Nothobranchius furzeri: one gene and its partners. The protein of the gene in region 2 interacts with the protein of the main gene of each other region in a pairwise test. Links are inferred from orthologs where the notes say so. Each region holds a gene or a part of one and is shown on either strand. Other genes may lie near its edges.

Region 1 (3,701 bases), on a different chromosome or scaffold from region 2:
GTTGCAGAAACAAAAGACTTGCATAGAGATTTTAATATTCCCCCTGCATAGACAACAAACGCAGCAGCAGGTTATTAGGAGGTTGACAGAAGTGAAGATTTGCTCGGGCATGGTGTTGTTGTTGCAGGAACACAGATTCATTCTGTAAATGTTTCTGAATTCTGTCTGAGAGAAAAGAAACTCATAATTGTCATTTTGATTGAGATGTTCCTTCAAATTCCATCTGGTTTCTTCATTCAACTCTTGTGAAATGCATATTTATTCTGTGCAAGCTGGTTTCTGCTTGATCCAGCTCTAGACAGACATGTTGAGCAGGACTCAGCTTCAGCAGAACAACACCAAGTCCATTCTTCAGCAGAAATCCACTAAAATAATCGTTTTCTGCACTTTGTATTATTGCACTGCTGTAGTTGAGATGCAACAAATAAAAGCAGTCTAAAACCATGTGGTGGGGGGGTTAATAAAATGATCTGAACCCCACTTTGAGCTGTGGAGGACACAGGCTAAAGCTGCAGAGGAGGTTCGGTTTGCAGCGAGCACCAAGTTTTACATTCAGCTGTAGAGGCGGCGGTGGCTGTGCAGCTTTCATTGGACGGATCTGGTTGTAGAGCATATTGCTCCAGATGTGGAAACCGTGAATAAGTGAATAAATAAACCAGCTGTCCTGACAAATGGCAACAAGTCAAGGGAAACATTTATCTCACCTTTTCGGGGTCAGTCTGAATCTGTCAAAGTGATAAAAGGAACCAAACCGCAGCAGGTGCAGCCGAGTTAACGTATATCCAAAAAGTGCTTTGGGGAAAAAAATAATAGCTCTACCTCGGTAACTAAGCCTATGCATAGATGAAAGTGACAAACACACATTATTTATAATTGTAAAACTGGGGCAGTTCTGAGCCAAAATACTGTGTATTTACAGTTGAATTTTTTGGAACAATCCGTCGGTTTTGCTACATTCTGACACAATGTGTTGGTGATTTTTCTAAGCACTAAATATCTCTTCACGATGAAAAACTTTCACCATAATTCAAAGTAAAGTGTAAAACCACTGGCATCAGACTGAATTCCTGGTCTGTTGTTGCAGTTTCTTGGGTATTTTGGGCTGGCAGTGATGCACTGCTGTCTCACTATAAATGTAACACTTTGAAAGTACGGCACAGCAGCTGAAGGCGGAGAGGAGGAACGTCCGGATGTGATATGTCATTTTTTTAGAGAGCATTCTAGAAGTGGAGATTGCACACATCCCTCTTTACCAACATCAGCGTATTTTTTCTTTTCCATAAATAAACACTGAAATATACATTTAAAGCATAACGACACAAACTAATGCACAAAAAAGTACATTGCTTTCCCTTTCTGGCCAAAGCTCCTGGTTGCTCCTGTTGGCGATCTGGATAAGGCAAGCAGCTGGTCTGTGAGGTTTCTTCCATCATTCCCACTGTTGGGAAAGTTGTCAGTCAGTCTTAAGGGTCAAAGACTGGAGGGTGGTTTAAAAGCTGGTGGTGACTTTAACTGCTTGAAAGTCGACGGTAAAAGTAGATGTAGCCCAAATCCTTTGGAGGCCTTTCTGACAAACAGACTTTGTGGTCATTATAGATCACCCACCTGCACAGAGATGAGCATTTAAGAGTTTTGTTGTCTCTTGACCTTACAGAGTCTAGATACTTTCAAAATAAAATAATAACAATTTCAGGAAAAGATTGGCAGAAAAGAAACACGATCATTAACATGCATGTTTCGTAAGGAATAATGAGTGTTGTCAACTTTATTCTACAAGTAAAACCAGAAGAGATGTTATTTAAGGATGCGGGCTGCAGCTCACCTTCCCTCCTTTTTGATGTGACAAACATAATGTCCGGACATCGTGGAGGCTCCCATGTGGCTGATGAAGGCAAACAGTTCGTATCCTAAAACAGGAAGAAGACCAAAACCAGAATAAACAGATCACCGTCACACATCTGAAATCGACAGATGGTAATTGTCAGAATTAGATTCTGAATGATGGGAAAAACAATCAAAACAGTAAATCTACTTAAAGTTCTTTTCATTATATACTCATCTATTTTCACTTACATGATTGTTTGAGTCTACATTTTTTATAAAAGTTTTAATTAAAATGATGACGTACATTTATTTTCAAAAAGCTAACACAAAGGTTTTTCTAGTTCATGAGTTTATTTATAAACTAATTTTTTTTTTACGTTGCATGATGTATAAATGAAGTGAGAATGACATCTTGTGGTCAAATTTGGGTACTGCAGTCTATTTCAAAGCAAAAGAGTGAAGCCTAGTTTCTGCTTCTGCGTCAGTACGAAGACACGAAATGTTATCCATCCATGTGAGGGCTCTCCAGCAGGCTCACAAGGATGAATGGAGTCAAGCCCATTTTTCTAAACGAGACGCAGAACGCAAGCTTGTGACTGGTCAGGCCGCCGCTTTTCGTCAACAGCACCACTATTCCCCCCTCAAAAACATAAAGAGAGCTGAAGATATCTAGCAGCAGACACAGAGTAGCTTGAAGAACACCTCGCGAAAAACCTAAAAATATGAATGTTTTTTTCATCCGTGACTGGATGAGAAAAAAGATACACAGACAGCGTTATATTTGTAGATGGAAATGATTAGGCTCAACTCCTGGCCTGAAGTTCTGTGAGTTTCACGGCTGTTGCCAGCTGTGACTCAACACCAGAAGATTCTAGATGACGAGCGAAGAGTCATACACAGTAAATTGATCAGTGGATAAATACAATTCACTTTAATTTTCAGATGTTAAAAGTTGAAAAAGTTGCTCGAGATATCTTTGGAATTTCTAATTCGCCGTTGGCATTGTTAGCTCAACATTAGCCTCTAGTCTGCTTAACCCGATATTAGAGTAAAATGATGCTGTGGCTTCTTAGGAGTACAAGAAATAACTTATGTGTCACTTCCGTTACTGGCTTAGGATCTTTGCATAACACTTATGGGGTGGTGTCAAATTCCAAATGCCACGACTGGAGCATTAAGCCTAATTTATACTTCTCAGTTTGCGCGGCGCAGAGATACGCAACGTTATTATGCATCAGTGCAAGGGCTCTCCAACAGGCTCGCAGAGGGTGACAGAGACATGCCCAAATTTTTACATATCCATCAAAAGTGACGGAGACCGCAAGCTTGTGATTGGCCAGGACGCCACTTCCTGTAAATTTGTTAACAGCACCACCATTGCCCCCTTAAAAAGTAAAAAGATATTTAACGGCAGACTCTGAACAGATTGAAGAACGCATCGCAGAAAAAGTCCAAAAATAGGAACGTTTATTCACCAGTGATGGAAGGAGTACAAAGATATGGTGCAAGCATTTTGTTCGTGGACGGAACTGACAGGAAACATGGGTTTAGAGCATGGGTTAGCGATGGCAGCCACATGAGAGGTGGAGGATGAAGGACAAATTCATCCGTGTTATGTCTGAAATATATAAACACATTAGTAAATACACTATCATGGACCGGATACAGGAGTGTAATGGTGGCGTGATACCACAGAAAAGTGTTATGCCCTCTGTGGTCCTGGTGGGGAATTGCTTTGTAACACTCCCCAGGTGCCGGAGAAGTCAGAGAAGAAAACGTCTCTGTAAATGCGTACTTGTCTCTCCCTTGTGGAGATGACAGAGAAACATAAATCAGGCATTGGCTGGTGCAGGCTCTGTAAACCCACAGGCTTGTAG
Region 2 (5,244 bases):
TATCGGTCGGCTAATATTTATCACTGTCGGCCGACACACCCCTTTTTAACATCAATCACATGTGTGGGCAGCCCGTCGCTGCTGCTGAATTGTATATTTATGTCCCTGAAAACACCTGCTTTCTAAACACTCTACCATCATTTTCAACTGGCATTGTTTTGATTTACCTTATTATATTTAATATTTGGTCAGTTTATTGATTTCTTTGGTACGTTCTTGCTGTGTCTGATTTCTAATACCATTGTTGGTTCTTTTTTAAAACACAGAAAAGGTTTCTTTTTACCTTGCTGACAGTTTAGTTTGTGGCTGCAAACTTCCTCAGCTGATGGTGGCGTCACTTCCTACTCCGTTTATTCGCGGCCAGAGATGATGGAGTTTACACATTGGATCGTGCATGGGGCTGCATCATCGGTGAGGGGAGAGCGGGCAGCAGAGGATGACAACATCCTCTGCTGCCCGCGGATAAATGGAGTAGGAAGTGATGCCACCATCAGCATCAGCTCTGAGGAAGTTTGCAGCCACCAACGAAACTGTCAGCAAGGTAAAAAGAAACCTTTTCTGTGTTTTAAAAAGGAACCAACAATGGAATTAGTTAATTGATTTGTTTGAGCAACTCTCGTTGATTGTTTGATCTTGCACAAAATCAAGATTCAGACGTCGGTTAAAATCAGTATTCAAAAACTGATTCGATTCAGAGATGTTGTGCATGAATGGTCGTTATTTTGTCATTAGTGACATTTTAGCATGCAGATAAGGTGGAAAATTACAAGATATTGACTGTGAAATTTGGCGGGCCATAGCTTGTAGATATCTGCATCAGAAAAACCCATATCGGTTGATCTCTACATCTAATGATAGATCTCAAAATTCATCCTCATGAGATATTTTGCAAATGAACCAATGCACTCAGACAAAAACATAACCTGCTATGTACCATTCATCTGCAGAAATTAGTTTTCAAAATAATCTATTTGATGTTCTAAATTAAATGAAACTCTATGACGACATGGGAAGTTTCAGTTCTGTGGATTTTATGTCAGATTAGCCTTTCGGCTATCCAGTCAGCCACTGGAGAAGTCATCCGTGCACATGATGCTACTAGAAACGACCAAACCTACACCAGCAGAATGACTCAGAAGCCTCAACAGTAACTGATGCACCTTCTGCATCACGCTGCTCTCCCTCCTCTCACATTTACTATCCCTGCTTATTGCCCTCAGGGATGTCTTTGACTCACGTACCAAGCCCTCTTGCTGGATATTGGAAGTGTTAGGTGTACTTTACGCCTGATCTGTCTCACCTGCTGGATCCCTGTTTAAACATATCAATGATATTCTCAACCAGCAGGTTCCTCTGCAGGCCGTAGACACCGTGTCGGTCCAGGACCACCTCATGCCTGCAGGATGGGCATCGGAAACGGCCACCAGACGTCAACGAGCTACTTCTGGTTGGAAAGTACGGGTTTGAAGCCTGCAAAGCAATAATTCACACTCTAATTCTGGAGTGTTGATGCTGGTCAAACACATCTCTGTTGCGCAAGTTAATGAAATGGTTTCACTCAGCCGTTATGCAATGTGCATAGAGGAAGTACAGACAAAACAAGTTTGCATAAATGAGTGTGTAAATCAAAAAGCTTACCAACAGCCAGATTTAAATAATTTATGAAATAATTGTGTTTTTACTTGTGACTTATTACATCAATAATATTTCAACAAAGCCTATACATATTTGGCTCATCATTGGTTGTGACACAAAGTGTTAATTTTCTCACTAAAGCACAAACCGTGATTATTGTGGCTGTGAAGATATTAAAATGTGAGCCAGGCAGCGCATTTGTATGCATAAGATGCTTATAAATCAACATTTTTCTTAAACTCCTAAATTCTGTTGTTACAGAAAAAACTGAGGGGATTCATTAAATTGGCTTACCTGAAAAACATCATTGGCACATTTCCTACAGAGGTTGTGCTGGCAAGGTAAAATGACAACAGGCTTTGTAAACATTTCCAGGCATATGGGACAAGTCAGCTGCTTCTCCAGGTTCTCCATGGTGCCAGCTTAGGACAAACAAAGTCATACAAAACTTAAATTTGCGAAAGTTTATCAAAAGCTAGTAATCCACGGCAGATTCAGTCACGAGGGTGCTGAATAGGATAAGTGGGAGTACCCAGTTGGTGTCAGTGCTTTATTTTAGCAGCAGCTACTGCTGTCACGTCAAATGTTGCCATTTATACCCTGCCCATATTTGAAACTGAACTAGTCAGTACTGAACAGCTGCTTATCTCTCTCTAAACTACCATCTGCGTCCTATAGGGGGGGACAAAAAGCAGGAAAAATCAGTGAAATTATATGAGGTAACTTTCAATTTTGTCCAGTATGCTGATGTTTTATGTGTATTTATATATTGGTTAATTAATTTATAATATATGTTGATGACGTGAAAGTCAAAATGTAAAAAATGCTAAACTGAAAGACCTATGTCCCCTAATGCTAACATTTCAATAATATTTGATTAGCAAAAAATCCTAAAAACTGCCTACATTTCTAAGCAACACCAGATGAAGGAGGACCCCGCCTGAATACAAAAAGGTTTGCTACCGCAGAAACATATTTTTTTTTTTTGTCATGCTCAGAATTCAACTGTAAATGTTGATTCTTATGTAAGCCTGTAAGCTTCATTGGTTAAATAAAACTTGTTAAAAAACACAGAAAATATTTTAAGGGAATTATTATTGTTATTAGTGTTAATTTCGTAGCTACGTTGGATATTACTATTTGAGCAAAAACAATATCTTCTAAGGGACATTAAATTATTTTTCTATTCGATTCTTATTTTATTTATCTTGAATTACTCGCTGAATTGAAAAAATCGCAGTAACTTGATTAAAAGTCCGTCTTTTAGAATGTATTAATGGAGTTGCAGCTCTATAGAAGTAGTGCATATTTTAAAAAAGTTCATTAGAAGTAATTAAGTCAGAAAATTAACCAGTCAACAATCAAAAGATAATTTAAGTGACGCCGGTATCGACCCAACGCTTTAATGTAAGCGCTCTATCTTCTCGTAACAACACAACTTCCGGCAACATATTATGTTGAGTTTCGTAACATACCTGTGGAGCCGAATCGCTGTCTGGTGCCACACAAACTTGATAATACAGAAGTCATTATACAGTTATAGGATACCATTTACCGACACCGGTTTACTTTAGGTAATGTTACTTAGCTAAGCTAAGTTAGCTTAGCTGAGAAGCTATAGCCTCGTTAGCAGCACAAGCATAGACGTGAATACGTATATGTCTGTGGACCTAAATCTATGCATTAAATGGTGTGAAAATCCATCATAACTAGCGAAGTATTTAATACTTGCAGTCGAAATTGTTATAGAATAACACACTAAAAATAAAAACACGTGACTGTACACCCTTAAAACCAGTAGATCTGGCTGGAGTGAACGTCTCCCTTCGATAGCTCAGTTGGTAGAGCGGAGGACTGTAGTGGGTATGCGCTGAAATCCTTAGGTCGCTGGTTCGAATCCGGCTCGAAGGAGAGGGTTACTTTTGAGTTTTTAAAAAAACAATCCTTAAAACTATCCTTGAACATTTGATTTGTTAATTTCATGAAACGGGTTAAAATTCTTACATTTATAATCATATTTTCTGTGGTAACAATGTTGACAAAATATGCTTCTCTTAAATAAAATGTTTAAGTAAAATAAAAATTATTGGTGAGACACAATCCTTTATCTTGTCACATTACAGTTAGGTGAAGATTTTTGATCTCAAACAATAATCTTTACATTAATAACTTTTCAATTCAAGGCCTTAATGTTTGCACATAGTTAAACGACTAATTGTCCTATACTTGCAAACACTCCAAAAAAATTTCATTTTAATTTTTTACTGATATGTCTCTCATTTGCTCTATATTTGTGATAAAACATAATTTACTCTAGATTGAAGCGGCAGAAACAGTACTGCAGATGCATACTGATGGATGACTCACTGAAGATAATTAGCACTTGTGTGATGGATTATGGCAAGCATCATGCATTTATTAAGTATTTTGTGTTTTATGCTTCATATTTTATATTCTGACACTTGTTCAGAAAACATTAGTTTTTACCCTTTCAACAAGGGTCTTAAGTTCATGCCTTTACACTTGAATTTAATTAGAAGCATGTATGTTTGATTTCCATCATGCAGATATTTTTCTAAATGTAATTAGTGGAATAAATTTGATCATTTAGGACAGGTTTACCTTACAGATTGAGTCAGTGGTTACCGCTGTGGTAAAATGTTGTATAAATACCTTTTGAAAGTACTTTATACCTAATTTGTCGTTTTCCTCTGACTAATACAACATGACATCTGCATCTTGCACCTCTGTTCCTTTTATAGTGAGGCCACATGGAAATGCATGCAGCGCGTTTCGCACAGGCACATCAGAGTCAGTGAGTCATGTTTAAACATTTTAGGCAGATGTTGTTTCTGAAAATAATGAATGTCTCTCTCGATCGCTCTATTTTTGTGTGCCTTTGTTTTCATTCATCTGTTGGACACCAGCAAAGCAGGTGTGGAACCACGGCTTCCAGCAAAATGTTAATGCCTTTAAGGTGAGAGGAAAATAAAAATCAGCCACTTCTGTATCTAGCTGCTGCCTCATATGAGAATGTTAAAGAGCACATTAATATTTGTTATTAAAGATAAGCTTGTGTGTTTCACCCAGATCCTCTCTTTTGTTCAAGTGCTTCTTCTATGAATATTTTTTCCTGTGATTTCATTTGGGAACGCCACTTTATTCAGTTTTAACCATTAATCTTTAAAAGGCTAGTGTGATAAACATTCATTAATGAGCGAGGACCGCGCCGATCCCCACCATTTAGCTGACGCCTAAAAGTGAATTCAGATGAGATCAATTAGGGAGATGTTCCGAGTTGTGTTTTTGTCACTAAAGTGAATTCATAATTTTGCAGCCATTAACCGTCTGACTCATAATATGGCAGAGCCTGTTGGCAGAAATCTCATAAAAATTGACAAATTAAGAGCGGTGTGGGAGACTTTTTAAAAGATGAAAGGCCAACGTGAATGCCAGACAGTGCTGCCTTTGGAGCAAAAAGAAGATGCCAGTTTAAAGAGCGCAGTGTGAAACTTCTTGCTCAGCTGTAATTTCAGTACGTATAGTAAAAAGGGTCTGCAGGCACTTCCAAAGATACTCAAGATACACACGTAACACTCAAACAACTCT
Region 3 (4,057 bases), on a different chromosome or scaffold from region 2:
CAAAAACAGGACATTCATGATGCTACAGTATCCACTGCCTCAATGTCTGCTCCCTGGATGTTTACTGGTGAGTGAGGAGGAGTGGTTCGCTGGAAGTCAATCATTTCCTTTGTCTTCCTGGTGTTCAAGCGAAGATGGTTATGCTCACACCATTTATGTGTTGTGAAAAGTAAAATCAAATACAAAGATAGATTAGATCTTAAAAATGTACATATTCATGCATCAGAACTGCATATGCTAATTTTATTTGAGGGACTCTTAAATATCCACATAATGAAATATACTGTGAAAATGTTTCTTTTTTGCATTTTTATTTAGTGAAAACGACTAAATTTAAGGAAATAATTAATAAAAATTATTATAGTTATTAGTATTAGTTAAAAATATAATGTTTTTCCTGTGTAAACTGTTCTCTCACAAAGTTGTTTTTCATTACTTTGTTACTTTTAATAAACTGTGTTAAAAAAGACAGATTGAACGTACAAAGGAGTTTAGAATAAAGTTTGTTTTTGTTTGTTGTCACTTCACTCAATTACTTTTGATGCTTTAGACATTATTGAAAAAATACCAGAAATTGATCTTTTAAAGGGATAGTAGGCAGTTTTGGCTTGCCTTTATCGCCCCCTAGTGTCTGTTAGTGAAAGCAAAAGTGAATCTCCTCTTCTTGCTGTACGTTCGTCTTTTTAACACCTTAATCTAACTGCTAATTGTCTCCCCAGCCTTCATCAGGAGGGATTCATCACTGAATTAAACAAATCAGCTGTGTTCATGATCTAAACCATGCAGAAGACATGCTGGAAGCGGACTGCAGCGCCAGCACGTCAGCTCCACATCAGACTAAAGTGGGACTTAACAGGGAGCTGCTCAGATACTTTAAGATGGGTGATTCATTCATCTTCGTTGTAGTCATTTTGTTTTTCTCTACGTAAAACCTAATTTAGGGTTTTTCAAGAATATCACAGAAACAAGTCTGAAGACAAGGAAATTATGAGTACTTAAAGTTTTATTAGCAAAAATATTTCATTTCCAATAAACAAATATCATCATTTCACACATTAAAAAGTTGTTCATGATCTCAGCCAAACTTGTGTCTGCTGTCAGGATCAGACAGCAGCTGCCACTCAGCTAACAGGAAGAATGAGTTAATGAAGCGAGACGAAAACAGGTACCAGTCTACACACACACACTCACTCAGGAACAGCAGCAGTGTGTGATGGTGCCAGTGCATTCTGTTCTCTCCATACAGAACTGGCAGAAGCTCCTGGGAGGTGACCAACCCAAACATCACGTTTCATCACCATACCACTCCATCCATCCCTTCTTGCCCTTCAAACACTTTCAACCTTCTTTCTGATAACTTGCATCGCCATCGTTCTGTTAAACTTGCACTTTTCACAATAAAAGTGCACTAGTGCTAGCATCACATTCACAAGTGGATCAAACAAGCTAACATATTCTCTTCTTTTTCCGCCTCTATCTTTTCCGTTCAGCCTCTTTGGGCTTCCTGTGACATGGAGCGACCCAGAGCTCTGGGGGCTTTAGTGAACTCCATGAGGACCGGTTTGATGGGGGGGAGGTCTCTGGTGATCTCGTCCACACTCCTCTTGCTGGGGCAGACCCCATCTCGTGTGGGGAAGGGCTGCAGGTCGTGCTCTGTGTGCGGGGCACCACGTCCCAGCCTGACACCCAGCTCTGTTGGGGTAAAGATGGGCAGGGGGAGGGTGTGTCTCTTTGGCAGCAACTGGTGCTCCTTCATCCCTCTTTCCACAGTGCCCACCCTGAAGACACCAGAGGGGCAGGTCTGGATCAGAGAGCGGTACTGCCACTGCCGGGAGAGGGTCTCTCTACGGGAGTCGTCCTTCATGCTCATGGTTTGTCTGTGGGCATCAGACGACAGTTCAACTTAGAGACTTAATAACACTCCAAGGTTAAAACAAGAGGAATCTCAGTACAAACCACTGAGTAGATGGAGCATGTGGTGTCTCACCTGTCCTGAGGTTGAGTTTTCAGATCAACGCTGTGCCAGTCAGCACTGTAGCTCTCCCTCTTAGCCGTGTTTTCCTCCCGGATGCTGCAGGCCAGCTCTGCTCCCACCACCATGCCGTTACTCTTCTCCAGTATGCTGCAGAATGGCATGTTTTCTACTGTCTGGGGATCTTGGGTTCCTGAAAGCTGGTTCTCTCTCTGAGACGTCTAGACTCTCTCTTCAGAGTGTTTGAGTGGCACAGCGATCTGTCCACAGCTTTTATAGACGCCCCGTGACTATTTCTGATTCACGTTGTCATTCTGCTTCCAGTGTGTACTGACATCTGACACCGACTACTCCGCGGTTCATTCCCGGACAGCTGGAATCCAAACTGAGGATGAGTTGAAGGGTGGTTGGCCAGAAAATCCCCCTGGCTTCTGAAAGCACTCAGCCCACTTCAGCGGCGGTCGCAGAGGGGACAGAACAATCGGCGCTATGAATAGAGGTATGATAAACTTGTATGTTCAGCTGTGAAACGGGACAGCAGCCGCTTTATAAGGACATTTCAGATGATATAATCATCATTTTTTATCGTTAAAAAACAACCGGGCCTCATGACAACACCAGCCCCTCCGCTGGACGTCTTTCAAAGCTCCAAAGCGTGTGATTCATTACCTCAGTGACAGAGCACCACTCAAGCTGTTAGCAACTTGGGTTACTGACCGAAACACACACACACACACACACACACACACACACACACACACACACACACACACACACACACACACACACACACACACACACACACACACACACACACACACACACACACACACAGACACACTCACCTCTGCCAGTTATGTGTTGGTGTTATGTTACTACCAGTCCCTGTCTCTGACTCATTCACCCACATGGGGCACTGAAATCATCATCACAACACAGATATCACTTATCACACACACAGCATAATAATAAGGCATCTAAACGACCAGTTAGGCAGGAACACCAATCATCTAGACTTCTTACAAACCTCACGCTTTCTTTCCTCTCATTGTGGGACTTATTCTCATCTCTTTTTATCATCTTTCCATGTCTTTACCATTCGAGATGGCGGTTTAGTGTTATTTTCGTGCCAAGTGCAAAAACGTTTTCACCTGTTTCTTAGCAACTTATCAGCTAGTTGACACAACATGACAGGAATGCTGCCACGGTGAGAAAAAAGGTGTAAAGCAGCCGCTGGCATCCCAAAGGTCATCTGTTTAGGTCAGAAAATCAGCGTGACATGTTTTTGTCATTTAAAGAGACTTCCTGTTTACGTCCTGCTCACTGTCAAAAGGAGGAACGCGGATAATGATGTTTTTGCTTGTGCGTTTTTAGCTAAATATCTTATAAATCATTTAACATGTTTTGATAAAATAAAATATTAAATAAACGGCTGCAGTGGCGCAGTGGTTGGCACTGTTGCCTAGCAGCAAGAAGGTCATGCAGAAGGACCCCTGGCCTGGGGTCCTTCTGCATGGAGTTTGCATGTTCTCCCCGTGGGTTCTCTCCAGGTTCTCCGACTTCCTCCCACAGTCCAAAAGCATGAATGTCAAGTTGATTGGTTTCTCCAAAATTTCCTTAGGTGTGAGTGTGTGTGTGTGTATGGTTGTTTGTCCTGTGTGTCCCTGTGTGGCCCTTCGATGAACTGGCAACCTGTAAGGTGCACCCCACCCGTTTGCCTGGAGACTGCTGGCACCAGCCCCCCGAAACCCTGCGTGGATAAGCAGGTACAGAAAATGGATGTAAGGATGGACAGATAATGACGTTTTTAAACATGAATCACTGGATATTCACCCTCCGTTTAAAGAGAACCAGCTGTCATTCTCCTCATCTGGAAGTATTGCATTTGCTTTAGCTTAATATAAACAATGGAAGTGAATGGTAACAGCTTGCATTTAGTGTGATAATTGAGTTAAGAAACATTGATTATAAAGCAGCATGAAAACAGTTTATTTTATTTTCCTTCCATTCTGCTGCACTAGCAATTTTTCCAGTTTTACAAATGCCGATTGTTTGGCTACATCTGCCAATGTCATTTCCTACTTG

Evidence for each region.
Region 1: the proteins of trim55b (region 2) and usp13 interact in a two-hybrid assay, tested with the Homo sapiens proteins (2 studies listed by BioGRID and IntAct). The link is inferred for Nothobranchius furzeri from reciprocal best matches to the Homo sapiens genes TRIM55 and USP13.
Region 3: the proteins of trim55b (region 2) and tcap interact in a two-hybrid assay, tested with the Homo sapiens proteins (2 studies listed by BioGRID and IntAct). The link is inferred for Nothobranchius furzeri from reciprocal best matches to the Homo sapiens genes TRIM55 and TCAP.

The regions. Positions count from the first base shown.
Region 1 is NC_091748.1:59,206,775-59,210,475, forward strand, and holds the end of usp13 (ubiquitin carboxyl-terminal hydrolase 13), read right to left. Parts: intron 1,908-3,701; coding exon 1,823-1,907; intron 1,606-1,822; coding exon 1,509-1,605; 3' UTR 1,236-1,508; downstream 1-1,235. UniProt on the Homo sapiens protein: Deubiquitinase that mediates deubiquitination of target proteins such as BECN1, MITF, SKP2 and USP10 and is involved in various processes such as autophagy, endoplasmic reticulum-associated degradation (ERAD), cell cycle progression or DNA damage response.
Region 2 is NC_091747.1:51,573,938-51,579,181, reverse strand, and holds the start of trim55b (tripartite motif-containing protein 55), read right to left. Parts: upstream 3,406-5,244; 5' UTR 3,187-3,405; coding exon 3,111-3,186; intron 2,058-3,110; coding exon 1,930-2,057; intron 1,471-1,929; coding exon 1,301-1,470; intron 1-1,300. UniProt on the Homo sapiens protein: E3 ubiquitin ligase that plays an important role in regulating cardiac development and contractility, muscle growth, metabolism, and fiber-type differentiation.
Region 3 is NC_091745.1:14,198,338-14,202,394, forward strand, and holds tcap (telethonin), read right to left. Parts: upstream 2,360-4,057; 5' UTR 2,137-2,359; coding exon 1,988-2,136; intron 1,878-1,987; coding exon 1,487-1,877; 3' UTR 986-1,486; downstream 1-985. UniProt on the Homo sapiens protein: Muscle assembly regulating factor. Mediates the antiparallel assembly of titin (TTN) molecules at the sarcomeric Z-disk.